3 linked regions of the Caenorhabditis elegans genome follow. Each later gene encodes a partner of the first gene's protein in a complex. Each region holds a gene or a part of one and is shown on either strand. Other genes may lie near its edges.

Region 1 (5,934 bases):
AGTTCTACTTCTTCGATACGGCTTCCATCGGTATTCTGAATTTCCCTGTCAGCACCTGCCCTTCGTCTTTGCTCAGGCAATCAGCACCGAACTCTCTCTCTGTTAGAAAATGTCGCCAGTTGCTCGGGCTCTTTCCCTCTCTCTCTATCTCTCTCTCTATCTGGCTCACCGACCGCGTGGTGGTGCTGCTTCGTCGACACGCTCGTTTGGTGATAAATGATTTGCTCCCCCTTTTCGTTTTCTTTTTCTTCTTGCGTTGATTTTTCACATTGTTATTGCACTTGGCAGTGTCGTATTTTTGTGTTTTTATTTTGACCCATAAGTTCTAATACGATATCTTAGGCTCCCAGCTTGACTGGTGCTCTCATAATTTGAAATCAGAAGTTTTTCTTTTAAAAATTGAAAAAAGTGCACATTTTTCTTAAATTTTGAAGCTAAATATTTGAAATCTTCCACACTTCTAGTTTAATTCTCGATAACATCTGATAATTCTTTCCAAAATTTCAGGTCGAGCTGGCAAACATGGAAAAGCAATCACATTCCTCACACCTGACGATACTGCCGTCTATTTCGACTTGAAGCAGGTAAAAATTGTGGACGGACACCTTCCAACACACGTGTAATTGGTTTACTTTCCAGTGCGCGCTAACCGAATTCCCTTTCGTCTTTTTTCGCGCGCGCTCTCCGGCACTTCACACATGTGTTGTGGTGCTGGAAGGTTGCCTAATTTCTTGCACTTGAGCTGGTTTTCTCTCTGCGACGAAAATGGATTTTTTGTTAGGCGGAAAACGGAATTCGTTTTTTTTGTAAGAAAATGAAAATTATTCGGGAATGATAAGACCGGTAAAACGTTCCATAAGATAAGAACATATTTCAGCGTTCTAGAGCAATTTAAAACAAAAAAATGTTGTGATTAATTCTACAATTTTTGCGCCGAAAATACGGTACCCGGTCTCGACACGACAGAAATTGTTGTTAACTGCGAAAGGTCTGCGTCTTTAAAGAGTTCGGTAACTTCAAATTTTCATTACTGCGGTAATTTCAAATTTTCATTTCATTGAGTTTTCCCATAAATTCATAAATATATTTTTTTATCGAAAAACAATGAAAAATCTTTAAAAATTCGACTGAGATTAAAGTTTGGAGTTACAGTACTCTTTAAAGGCGCACACCTTTCACATTCATCAAGAGAGTGTCGTGTCGAGACCGGGTGCCGTTTTTTTGTCAAAAACTAGAAGAATTACGTTGACGCGAAATGTATGTCCCCTTGCTTTACAAAATTTTATACACAAAACATTTAATTTTTAAATTTTCCAGGTTCTCGTTGAATTGCCTGCGTCGTTATGCCCGAATGGACTCGCGGAACATGATGCTGCACGGAGCAAACCTAGACAATTCACATCTTGATGTGAAAGTGAACTTTTTGTTTGAAAATTTCAAACATTTTTCAGTTTTTTTAAAACTTACCAAATCTTCCAAATAATACTAACCACCACATATCTTCCATTAAAAAATTTAACGTTTTTCAGCGTTCTGAATATCTTATCTCTCTGGTCCATTTCTCCTACAGAATATCTCTATCTCATAATTGCCTATTTTTATTTGTTTTTCTTTCTTAATTTCAAGCGTTTGGGATATCTTATCTCTCTCAACTCCGTTTATTTTTTTCTCCTTATCCGTCTCCTTATCCGTATTCCTTTATTATTAATCTCTTCTTCGTTCAACATCGCTAAATATTTTTTTCAATTCCTAATTTCAGGTCAAACCGGGGAACGAATCAAAAAGTGATTTTGCCGTCGGCGATCCGAAAATTTTGCCGGCTCGTCGACTATTGACGAGAACAAGAGGTGAGAAAATGGGGAACTTTTTGATATTTCCATCCTGATCTTTTGTGAATTGAAAGTTGAATCACAATAGATCGATGCACCATAATACAAAAAGTGACAATTTTTCCCCACTTTCAACCATCCATTATTCTATTTCTTTTGCAGGAATCGTCGTTATTTTTCGTTTGCCGCGTTCGTCGTTTTGATTTGTTCTTCATTTTCCTTCTTGTCGATAATTGTGTGTGAATCAAGACGCTCAGAAAGCCGCCGCCACGTTGACGTCGACGGTTGTTGAATCGCTTGCAAAAGCAACATTTCAAAAACAAGAGCAGAGTAGAAAGATGAGCGAAGAGGATTGGCCTTCGCCGAAATTTCGAGAGCATGTTATTCAGAGACTGTAAGCTTTTTTTAAAGGAATATTTTTTTGATAACCGAGAAAACATTTTAAAAAATTTTTTTTTTGTTGAAAATTTCCAAAAATTTCCATTCAAAATTTTGATAAATTCCCAAGTATTTGTAAATTATAAACCATAGGAGCTGATGTCACAAATGTATCCAGGCTGTACTCTTTTTAAAAATGAAAAAAAAATCCCGAAATATAAAAATTTTCCAATTTTCAGTGAGCCTGAGTTGGCGAGAAACCGGCAGAATGCCCCAAATTTACCAGTACCCGGTGACGCGAGGCAGGTCGAAGAATATGTGTTCGCAAAGTGTATGTCGAAGGACGAATATATGAGGACGATCGCAAAAGTGATTAATGCTATCAATTGTAATAGTAAATCAGCGGCAGTGCCTTCCGTGTTACAACCATCACAGTTTCATAGTCCGCCGTGTACGACAGCAGGTAACTTTTTGTAGTTTTTTGTGGCAACGAAAATCTAAAATTTCAATTAGCTCTATTAGGAAACACTCCGGCTGGCGGAACACCCGGATATCGAGCTCCTGTGCCTCCAGATCCACAACCAACATCAGCTCAGGCAAGAAATCCACCTGTTACCGTAGCAACAACACAGGCATCAACAACTCCATCAGCACCAAATCCGCCAGGAGGATTGCCTGCTCCATCAGCTTCTGCCACTGCTGCTGTTGCCGCCGCGGTTGCTTCATTTCCATCACCAGATACAAGTATTCGTCCAGGTGGACAGATCACTCCAGGATCACAGGCACCCGGTGGAGGTCCGACGCCGGCACCAAATGTTCCATTCCCAAATGGAAGCAGCCAGATGAATGGTGGACCAGCAATGGGTCAGCCACCACCGCAAATGGGTGCTCCAAATATGGGTGGACCACCGAATGGATACGGTGGTTACGGTATGATGAATGGACCACCTGGTAGTGGTGCTCCAATGGGTGGAAATCCGTACAATCAGCAGATTAAAAAGGATGTGAGTTTATTTTTCAAATGTATTTTTTTTTAATCTGCTAATTTTTCAATTTTTGATTAATTTTTTTTTCAGATGGATCAAGCTCGTCCTTGGGATCCTTCAGCACATATGTATCAACAACAACCACAATGGGGTGCAATGCCACCACAACAACCACATGGATATCCTGGAAGACCAATGAACGGTCAAGGAGCCACTCCAACCGGTCCTTCATCAGTTCTTGAATCACTTATCAATCAGCCTCAACAATATCCAGGACATCACAATCAGATGGGCCCACCTGGAGATCGAAATGTTGCTGCTCAACGTGCAGCTGCCCAACAACAGCAACAACAACAACAACAGCAGCAACAGCAACGACCCGGAATGGTTCCAAACCAGGGAATGATGAGTTCCGAGGATCAAACCGTGTATTCTGCGAAATTGAGAAATATGCGTGGAAGCTGCGACAGTTTGAGAACACGAGCAAGGCAATGCAGACATGAGGGTAACCATGAAGCTGCTCACAAGCTTGAGGTTATGCTCAGTGTGCTCGAAGGAAAACGTGTGGTTAGCCTTGAATACTTGAACCATTTGGAGATGTGGATTGCCAGAAAGCAAGACTTCTTGAATATTGCTCCAATGTCACAGAATCAGAATCATATGGGAATGAACGATCCGATGATGAACGGTGAACATGCTATGTTGGGTAATGGTCAGGTGCCAAATCCCTACGGAGGACATCCAGGTTATGGACATCAGCAGTATATGGGACCTCCACCACCACATATGCAAATGCATCAACCACCAATGTGGCATCAACAGCAACACCAACAGCAGCAACGAATGATGCCACAGGATCATATGATGATGCAGGGTGGAGGTGGTCCAGTTCATGGAATGTATCGTGGAGATATGGGACACGATCCGATGACATCACCAGTCAACAATCATCGTCATGCTCCATACCCGAATCCTGCAGCGATGAGAAACAATATGAGAATGCCAAATGGTCCTGGACCAATTGGAAGAGATCGTAATTCGATGAGTGGATCAAGTATGTCAGGTCCAAGTTCTGGAGCCCCTTCAATGAATCCAATGGGTACACCGAATCAAAAAATGGGAACACCTGGATCAATGGGTGGAATGTCAGGACTTGATGATCTGAACTATGATGATTTCCTTCCAAACCCAACGCCGATTGATGCACTTCAGCCAACATTGCACGTCGGGCAGAATTCGATGAATGTAAGTTTTATATTAAAAATTGAGTTTCTCAGCTTTCAAAAAAAAAAAACACACAAAGTATCCTCAAATGATTTTTGAAAAAAGTGAAAAATAATTGTGTCGCCGAAAACACGAAAAAAAAAATCGAAAAACGAAAAACCTCTGATCTCAAACAGGGACACCAAAAACATTTTAGACCAAAAACAAAACATTTTCGTATTTTTTCTTCTCCCGACTAAAAATCAACATTTTCGCAATTCAGTTTTTTTTTCTTTTTTTGGTCCGAAAAAACCAACAAGATTACCAAAAAATCTATTTTTACAAAAAAAAAATCAACAGCCAATCAATAATCTCAATCAATAAATATTCAGGCTGGTCCACCAGTTCAACGATCAAATCTCAATGAAACAGCAAGAAAGGAACTTCAAATCCTTGATGCTCGATTCGAGATTGATCCAAACCATCAACGTCATGATGCCAATCATATCATTGTCGTCTGTAAAATCCGTAATCAACAGTTCCCACCACTTCGACTCGTTGTTCCAACCACTTATCCAGCTGGAAATGTGACTGTAGATCGAGCAGTCATTGATTTGGATGCATATTTGTATGATGATCTACAAAATTCAGTATATGAGAGATTATCACGACCCGGTCTTTCGTCAATTACTGACTATTTGAATGCTTGGGTAAGTTCTTTCGCTGAGAAAGGGAAATTTATGAAAATTGCACTTCAAATTGAATTTTAAATTTATAATTTTCTACAGGAAGAACAAGTGAATCAATACCAAAACCAGACAAGCGGTGGTCTAGACGTCGCTTTCAACGTGGGCAACGATTTCTTCTACGATAATCTTAACTTGTAAGTTAGGTAGAGTGCATTAAGTTTCTTTTTTTGTGCCTGCTCACTAAAAGTTTTGTTATTCAATGTTTATTTTTGTAAAATAATAAAAAATATGAAAAACATTATAAAATAAAGTTGGAAGTGAAAAAATTCCGGAAAGTTTTAATTTTTGTAATAACTTTACAAAAAGTATTACTCAAACGCGAAAGTTTACGATTTTTCACCAAAATTACGGTAACCGGTCTCGACACGAAAAATGTTGGTCAAATGCGAAAATATGTGCGTCTTTAAAGAGTACTCTATTTTTTCATCGTTTTTTGATTAAAAAAATATATACCTGTCAATCTAAAAAAAATACCCGAATTTGACAATGAAAACACAATTAATATGATTTGAAACATGATTTTAAAATTACAGTACTCTTTAAAAACGCAAACCTTTAAAAAAATTAGAAGACAGTTTTTTTTAAACAAACTGTTTTCTTCTCAATCAATGTTTTCTAATTTTCAGGTCAAATCCGTTCTAAACTCCGCCTCGTCTGAATTGAATTGCTCAGTTGCACAAAACCTGTACAAAAAAGAAAATCGAGTCTTCGTGGAATGGATTCAGTTGTTGTTGTCCTCTATAAATGATTGTTTTGCCTCCTCCTCCTATCATCAGCTTGCCCTTCTAT
Region 2 (3,508 bases), on another chromosome or scaffold:
GAAATGTCATTGTGCTCATCGCAGCAAGTTCCTTTTGCTCGGGTTCGAGAGCTGAACGATCAACGGGTGTTGGTTCAGTGCTCCGGAGAATTGATTTGGTTTCAATAACTGAATCTTCTTCCTTGATTTCGACAGTGTCTGTTTGATGGAATGTTTTCACATTTTCAAGCTGTTGCGCAAATCGAACTCCCGATTTTTTCCGTTTGACGGTGGTTTTTGTTACGGTTTCCTAAAAATTGTGTGTTAAAATAATAGTGAATTGTTTCTATTTAGTATTTGAAATTACCTCAACAATTTCTTCGACCTTAATCACTTGGGTCTCTATCTTTTTGGATTTCAGTTGTTGGTCAGAATTATTGCTTTTCTCGATATTATCATCAGATGCATAATCATCAGAGTCGAGTTCTTCTACACTATTGTTAAGATTCTCTTCATCATCGTCTCCTTCCTCTTCATCTTCATCATACTCCTCATCGGAACTCTCTTCATCACAAGTGTCTAAGAAATCTAACAGCCGTTCCATTTCCTTCTGTGTTACTCCAGGTTGTGCCAGCAAACGTTCATTCATTCCAAATCTTAGTTTTTTATCAGTTGGATCTTGTTCAACTTCCTCAACTTCCTCTAATTTACCCAAATCCTGTAAATCTTCGTTTGAAACTTCAAAAGGTTTCGGAATTGGAGCTTCTTCCATCTCATCATTGTCTTGTTCCAGTTTCTCTAGTTCTTCCAAACGGTTCATCACATCGTTGTGATCTTGGTCACCATTCAATTTGTTCTTTTCTATTATCTTCTCGTTCTGTTCATCATTTTGAGACATCTTTTTGTTTTTGCGATTTTGATAAAACAGTTTTTCCATCTCTTCATCGTATTTCTCGACAATTTCGATAGGTCCTCCATCAATCGAAACAGATGAGAAATTATCTTGAGCAAACTTTATTTTGTCATCCAACATTCGAATTGAATCGAGACCTTCCTCACGCTGCCTTCTCATTTCAGAAACTCTCCGATCCAAGATCTTTTCAGCTGTATGAATGCTGCATTCTCCGTAATAGTTTGCACCCATTTCCATCGTAACTTGATTCGTGCGAACTACATGGGCACCGCAGAAATAACCGACTTCGCAAATTTTCGCCTAAAAATTAGAATAAGATTATATGAGAGAGAATGTAATTTACCAAAATAGGAGCTTCCAACTTTTTCGAATATTCCTTTGCTCGTTCCAGAACTTTTTCATAGTTATCAGCAATGATTCTTCGACATTCGGTCTCAACTTCGAGCCGAGCTTTAGCCTGAAAAATTAAATTCATACAGACTTAATTATTTTTATACTATTTTAGGGAAACAAACTCGGAATTTAAAAACGAATTATTTTTGTCTTGTCGTTCATAATCATGTAAAAGGATTTTTAATTTACCGCATTGCATTCTGCAACGTAGAGTTCGCTCATTTTTTCAGATAGGTCTTCTTCACTCGTCACAGTCATTTTCTGCAAATCTTAGAGAGGTAATTCGGAGCGGAAAATGGGAAAAAATGTTAAAAAGTAACAATTTCCGAAAGCGCAATTTAAAAAAGTACAAAAAAGTACAAACTTTTATGGAGACACTACTGATTTCTGGAATCTGTTAAATCTTAGAAATGAACTCTTTCAGAATTTCAAACTTCTTTTTTTATATGCGTAAAACTTATCGCATATATTTTATGCAATATTGAAAGTAAGTAGAGTTTTAACCATTAAAGTAACTGAAACCAGAGTTTTATCGTAAAAATGGTAAAATATTCGGGAGTGTTGGTTTCCCTGGAAATGAGTCACGTAGAGTGTGAGTCCGCAAACACCAGCTGTGAATTGCGTAGAATACATTTAATATCACGCTCAAATAGTTTTGAATTAATTTAATTTTTTAAAAACATTTTTTATTCTGTTTATTTAGTTGATTCATTCAAAATATGGACAATTTAGTGGATATTGATGAAGATGGAACACAAGAAAAGGTATTTCGATTGTTAAAATCCATCTAAAACATTTTAATTCAGCTTTCTGTGAATTCAACTCCCTATCAAACACAAGAATGCGTTCTTTATGGATCTATTTTCGCAAAAAATGTCCCAGTTAGTTTTTAAAGTAATTGGACTAAATTCTAATACAAAAGTTTCAACTTTAGGACTTGGAACGACGTTTAGCCGGCCTTTGTGATCCGGGATGTGAGGAATTCTTCGAGCATGAGATGTCATTCAGCCTACGATCTTCGGGTATAATGGATATCAAAACCGATATTAAGTAAGCTTTTTTGTTTATCTATTTAAATATTTGCATGTATTTGATTTTTGAAGATTGCGAAGAAGATTCCGAACAGAACATCGAATTCAAAATTATTGGCAATTAAAGTACATTGGAGGTCGGTTTTAACCTTATAATTCGTATTTTATAATTTTTTGTTTTATTTCAGTTCCGGAACCAGATCAAAAATGCCCAACTATTGTTCGAAAAGAAATCAGTTCACTTGTCCATTCTCAGGATATGATGACGTATGCGAAATCCTTGGGTCTCCGCATGGACTATGAATATATGACACAAGGAAAATTGTGGACAAAAGGAAATATAAAGATTCTGCACTCAATATTGACTAGTACTTCTCGCGCAGGAACATATGATTCAAATTCAATCAAATCTGTTTCTGATTCTGCGTTAGTGGAAATCAGTATCTCATTGCCCGAGTCTGCAGAATACATGCCGGTAGGTTTTTTAGTAATAATTTCGAATTTATTTTTTCAACTCATTTTAGGCTGCCAAGTCTCTTCGTGATTTTGCCGATCAGCTGATGCCACTTGTTAATATGGAAAAAGTCGATTACTGGAAGAAAATGTTCCCAGCTCAAGCAGCTCCTCGTCGTTAATCTTCATTAATTGATTGATCTCACTTTGATACGTTATTTAATTTATAAAATTCACGAAGTATTCAATAATGTTAATATCCCACAAAGCTTCAATGGTTTATACCTTTTATTTTCTGATATCAACATTAAACATTTTTTTACTCCAATGAAAATTTAGAATGTCATCGAAAAATCCAGTAGATGAGCAACCTTGCTGTGGCTCCCATGAAGGTTCGCATCAAGATCCTGCTCCGGAGACGTTAGTAGTTGAAAAAGAAGTTAACAATGGGGAAAAGAAAATACGAATTGCTGTTGTCGGATGCTCTCACGGAGAAATGGATGCTATTTATGAGGTAAAATTTAAAAAAAAATCATATTTTTCGAACAAAATTAATGGCATATTTCAGATCTATTTTCTCTATTAGATTGTTTTAATTGCTATTTAAAATTACAACTATTTAAAAAAAATATTTCAGACAATGACACTAATCGAACAGAAAAATGGCTACAAATTCGATTTGCTGATCTGTTGTGGCGATTATCAAGCTGTCCGAAACTACGGCGACCTTCCACATATGAGTATTCCACCAAAGTACAGAAGTCTTCAAACATTCTATAAATACTATTCTGGAGAACAA
Region 3 (4,835 bases), on another chromosome or scaffold:
ATAATTTTTCCAGATTTTCGAGAATATCTATTATCCAAAACTTCTCTTTTTGGATTTTTTAAAAGAAAAAGTTACAAGAAAAATTAAAGATTTTGGTTTTCAATTTTTCTAAATGTCGGAAATCTAAAGTTTTGTTTTTTGGTAAATTTTTTTTTAAAAACATTTCAAGAAAATCTTAAGTTTCGGTATTTTTTTTCGAAATTTTATTTAAGAAGTGAAAAATTGGATTTTTCTGGAATTTTCTAAGAATAATTGAAAAAAAGAAATATTTTGGTTTTTCGATTTTTTTTTGAAGGTCTAAAAGTCAAGAACATTCAGATTTTTGAAGAATTTTCAAAAGATTTTGTTTAAATTATAGCTTTTATCCTAAGAATTTTGATTTTGGATTTTTTTTTCCTTCAGAAATAAACCAAAAATTGAAACGCTTAGTTTTTAAATTAAATTATTAGCTCTACTTTCAAATTTCTGGCTTTTCAAGACAATTTTGAAATTCAAAACTTGTGTTTTTCAAATAGAATCTTTTTTTTTTCGATTTTCTCTTTGAAAAACCCAAAAATTTAGCTTTCCTGAATGTCGGAAATCGAAATGTTCGGATTTTTTAGAATTTTACTTTAAAAGTAAAAAATTGGATTTTTTTTCTGAATTTGCGAAAAATAATTGAAAAAAGGAATATTTTTGTTTTTCGGGTTTCGCAAAATCGAAAAATTTGAAATACACTAACAATAAATGTTGTGTAATCCCATAAATAACAATATTAACAATATTGTCCCATTGATATCGTGGAATTGGCTCAGTTTCCGGTAGAGATTCTGCTTCGGCCATTGATTCACATATCATTACAGATATCAACATTTCCCAATTTGTCTTTGTCTTCGTTTTGCTCGGAGGATGAAGCTGAAACTTAATTCGGGATAAGTTATTTAAAATATATATATTCTCAATTTCATACCGAGTCCTTTCCCAATGGCTGACGAAGAATCATGTAGAGGGTGTACAAGTATGTAGAAGTATGTTCAGGACGATATGGAAGTGTATGATGAGGTTGAACAATTGTATTACTGGCATTTAATCCATGTTCTTCCCAACACGATGTTAATGGATAGAATGATGGATGTAGTGGAATGGGGTAAACGAATCCACGGCCACACACGTGGGATAGGTCGGCAATTGGTCGGAAATGGACGGATAAGCTTGCCAGTTTCTCCGTTAGTCTCTGTAATATTTGGCATTTTAATTTAATCTTAAGAAATATAGGCTTGGTAAATGAATCGAGATGGGTCGATCCGTGACTCATCTCGAGCCGCTTTTTGCAAAAAAAATCCACAATTGCCGGAATTGAAATTTCCGGCAAATCAGCAGATTGCCGGAAAATCAGCAAATTGCCGAAATTTTTCGGCAAATTGTGGTTTTGTACATTCAGATAATTTTTCGTCGATGAAGGTGATTTTTCAGTCAATCAGCATACAAATCAGGGGTGTGTGGCAAACGATTTTTTCGGCAAATCGGCAAAGTGCCGGAATTGAAATTTCCGGCAAATCGTGAAACCGGCAAATTTCCGAATTTACCGGAAAAATACCAATTGTCGAAAATTTTTGGCAAATTGTGGTTTCGCACTAATTTTTTGGGAATTTCAGAATTGTACGCATCCTGTGAGTGTTTGAATGTTTTTTTCTACATCTTTTTTGAAAAGTAAGCAAATTCTATAAAAATATCTGAGGAAAAGGGAAAAACAGCCCAAAAAGTCACAGTTTTAAGTGTTTCAGTCTTATGAAAAAATCCCTCAAAACATTTGCGGAAAATTTAACATCCGGTAAACGGCAAATCGGTAAACCAGCAAATTGCCCGATTTGCCGAACGGTAATTGCCGCCCACCCTTGGTAAAAACTTCAAATAAAATGTTGAGAAACTGAAAATTTAGAAATCAGAAGAAATTTCCCGTCATTTTTTTATGGCTTAAATTAAGTTTTTTAAAACTTCTGTAGTATTCAATTTGGTTTACTTTCTGTAACTCAAAAACTAAATGCACAGAAATTAGAAACTTTGCGAGAATGGTCGAACTTTTTTTTGGTTTCCGCCAAAAAAAAATTCGACTTTTTGAATGTAGAGAGATCTTTTTTTTGTGTTTTTTTTGCCGAAAAAAAAAATTAACAAATCTAAATTTTTACATTGTCTTTATATTTTCAGCAATTTTTTTTAAAATTTTCCCCTCACCGGCAGCATAAGCGCCTGTTTCGGCATTCCTCTCATAATTTCTGATAATGTGATGAGTGGAGGCATCAAATTGGAGTCTCTATCCACAATATGCAGTATTACATTCTCAACAATGCGGATTTCGTTTACTTGCTCCGGAGATAGTGAATACGGTAGGCGACGGAGCTGTGATTCCAGAATATATCGGAGGATATTCCGAATTCCTTTGTAATCGATTTTTGGAATGCAATCATTGATGAATTTCCATTTTTCTTGGCATATTCTACTGCATAATCGGAAGTCCGAAGTCATTATGAGTCCTTCTGCGCACAGATTCGTTGAAATCGCACCTTTTTGATGAGCATATCGGAGAAGCTGATCTACGACACGTTCGTAGTTTGTTCTGGAATAAAACACTGTTAAAACCTCTGATTATATGCAAAAGAACTGTTAAAATTGTTTTTTTTTCGAATTTTTAAATTCTCACCCAACAAAAACTCGATCAGGAGAGTTCTTTTCCGCCACGTGATGAACCATTTTTATTAGCTCTTTCACTAAAGATTGTTTTTCTTTTTCTTCCATTTTACTCATCATATTATTGAATTGAATCCGTAAAATCGCCGTCTCGTCGCCAATATTCGACGTAAGAGGTCGAAAAAATTTTCTTGTGTGGTTTTCTTCCTAGAATATATTTTTATGAGTTATGTTTAATTTTTTAAGCGTTATTTTTGATTTAAAAAACTCACAACGAGACTTTTAATTTGACTCTTTATTCGATTGACTTCCTGAACAAATTGCGGAGAGCACGTGTCATCCATTTCAATTGTATCTTCTGCGGAACCAGGTTTATCCGTCATTTTGTTGCCTGAAAATGTAATAATTTTCAAAAGAAAAATGTTAAAATAATAAATTGAAACAAAATAGGTTGATAAAAATTAAAAACGCATTGTTTGAGAAAGATATTACTGCGCCTCTTCTCTCTCACGCGTGACAATAGAGCGCGCTTGGTGTGTGGTCTCTTCGTTCACGCATATTCTGCGGATTTGAACTCTACCAGAGTTCTGCGAAAAAACTACTACATATATAATACATTTCACACATTTAAATATCTTGACTTTTATTGTAGGTAAACTGACATTTGGACTGATTTGCCAAATTTCTGTTGAAAATCAGTTTCAAGAAGCTGAAATCTAGATTAATTTATTTTTTTCATATCTTCATAAAAAGTACAGTTTATTCTCATTTACATTCCTTTAAATGGCGTGTTAAAATAATGAATTAATGTTCGATTTGCACTACAAGATTTCCTTTCGCTCCCTTGTTGTTCATAATTTCCTCATGAGCCAGTCCTAATTGCTCGAGACGATACAATTTGTTTATAAGTGGACGAAACTCGGTTTCCTTCAAGAATGAGACAATGTTGATGCCAAAGTCCAAGAGCTCAGCCTCGGAAGACATTCCCAATGCTACACCGTAAACAGCTCCTTCTGTAACCATAAGTTGTCTTGCGTTGATCGTGGTCTCGGCGCGATTTCCAATTACTGCAACTCTACCACGTGGAGCCAGCAATCCGAGGTCCGTGTTCAGATTTGTGTGAGCAGCCATTTCGAAAATGTGGTTGAAGCCTCCTGGATAATCATTTTTCATTTTCGACACATATTGCTTATCCGAATGATTATAGACATTCCGTGCACCAAGACTCTTCACGAACCGGATCCCATCAGCAGATCCAGCAGTGCCAACAGCTTCAATGTTCCTCCAGGCAGCCAGCTGCATCAGTGCACTTCCCACTCCACCAGATGCTCCGTGTACAAGTATAACGTCGCCAGTCTGAGAAGAGAATTAGTTTTGGGAGGGAACAGCAGATGGTCGTATTTTAGACCGCCCCTTGTTTGAGATGGAACAGATGGTCAAGTTGGCTTTGTAAAGATTGATTTGTATTGATTTTGCCTCCTAATTTTGATACGTTTTTGCCAAAATTTTAATATTCTCTATGAACCATTTAATAATAAATAAAAGTCAAACCTTTGCACCAGCAAGATGAAACAATGCACGATAAGCGGTAAGATAAGGCACTCCGAGAGAAGCTCCTTCCTCAAACGAAACTCCTGAAATGAGATTTTAGCTATATCTTAGGTCTCGCCACGCGGGCAACTAGCTACAGTAACCCGTTGCGCAATGATTCTTTTACCTTCCGGCAACTCGAATGGTCGATTCACCGCAACATACTCTGCTGTACTGTCCGCTTCTGATCCATACCAGACTCGATCGCCGACTTTCACATTTTTAACGCTTTCTCCCACAAGTTCGACGAATCCGGCTCCATCTTTTCCTGGTACATATGGAAGATTTGGTAGTTTTCCATACTGACCAGCACGAATATATGTGTCAACTGGATTGACACCGGCAGCGTAATTCCGAACGAGAACCTGGTTTTTTTCAAGCCTGGGCATATCACTCTCGACGGCTTCTATGACATCAGGTGCTCCGAATCGTCGGACTACAGCTGCGCGCATGCTTGATTTGCAAATCGATTTGCTCATTGTTCTAAAAATGGCACTTATCAGTAATATGAAATGCGTACTCGCACTGATTAGGCGCACGGATTTATTCGGATGGGTCTCGCAGCGAGAAAAATGTTATGG

Evidence for each region.
Region 2: mdt-15 (region 1) and mdt-18 share a complex: the UniProt entries of both Caenorhabditis elegans proteins name them as parts of the mediator complex.
Region 3: mdt-15 (region 1) and sur-2 share a complex: the UniProt entries of both Caenorhabditis elegans proteins name them as parts of the mediator complex.

The regions. Positions count from the first base shown.
Region 1 is NC_003281.10:5,829,571-5,835,504, reverse strand, and holds mdt-15 (Mediator of RNA polymerase II transcription subunit 15), read left to right. Parts: upstream 1-1,759; 5' UTR 1,760-1,847; intron 1,848-1,991; 5' UTR 1,992-2,028; coding exon of another isoform or gene 2,029-2,121; 5' UTR 2,122-2,167; coding exon 2,168-2,223; intron 2,224-2,446; coding exon 2,447-2,670; intron 2,671-2,720; coding exon 2,721-3,211; intron 3,212-3,283; coding exon 3,284-4,438; intron 4,439-4,788; coding exon 4,789-5,106; intron 5,107-5,184; coding exon 5,185-5,283; 3' UTR 5,284-5,380; downstream 5,381-5,934. Other genes in the region: R12B2.6 (uncharacterized protein), read left to right, coding at 1,352-1,483; R12B2.13 (uncharacterized protein), read left to right, coding at 2,029-2,121. UniProt on the Caenorhabditis elegans protein: Component of the Mediator complex, a coactivator involved in regulated gene transcription of nearly all RNA polymerase II-dependent genes.
Region 2 is NC_003279.8:6,492,268-6,495,775, reverse strand, and holds mdt-18 (Mediator of RNA polymerase II transcription subunit 18), read left to right. Parts: upstream 1-1,928; 5' UTR 1,929-1,944; coding exon 1,945-1,989; exon of another isoform or gene 1,990-2,031; coding exon 2,032-2,106; intron 2,107-2,159; coding exon 2,160-2,275; intron 2,276-2,328; coding exon 2,329-2,393; intron 2,394-2,444; coding exon 2,445-2,731; intron 2,732-2,780; coding exon 2,781-2,891; 3' UTR 2,892-2,954; downstream 2,955-3,508. Other genes in the region: uri-1 (Unconventional prefoldin RPB5 interactor), read right to left, coding at 1-229, 287-1,132, 1,176-1,289, 1,415-1,447; dbr-1 (Lariat debranching enzyme), read left to right, coding at 3,050-3,223, 3,347-3,508. UniProt on the Caenorhabditis elegans protein: Component of the Mediator complex, a coactivator involved in the regulated transcription of nearly all RNA polymerase II-dependent genes.
Region 3 is NC_003279.8:14,784,750-14,789,584, forward strand, and holds the start of sur-2 (Mediator of RNA polymerase II transcription subunit 23), read right to left. Parts: upstream 3,055-4,835; 5' UTR 3,048-3,054; coding exon 2,937-3,047; intron 2,872-2,936; coding exon 2,678-2,871; intron 2,594-2,677; coding exon 2,212-2,593; intron 1,214-2,211; coding exon 950-1,213; intron 895-949; coding exon 722-894; intron 1-721. Other genes in the region: F39B2.3 (15-oxoprostaglandin 13-reductase), read right to left, coding at 3,469-4,020, 4,216-4,298, 4,382-4,733. UniProt on the Caenorhabditis elegans protein: Component of the Mediator complex, a coactivator involved in regulated gene transcription of nearly all RNA polymerase II-dependent genes.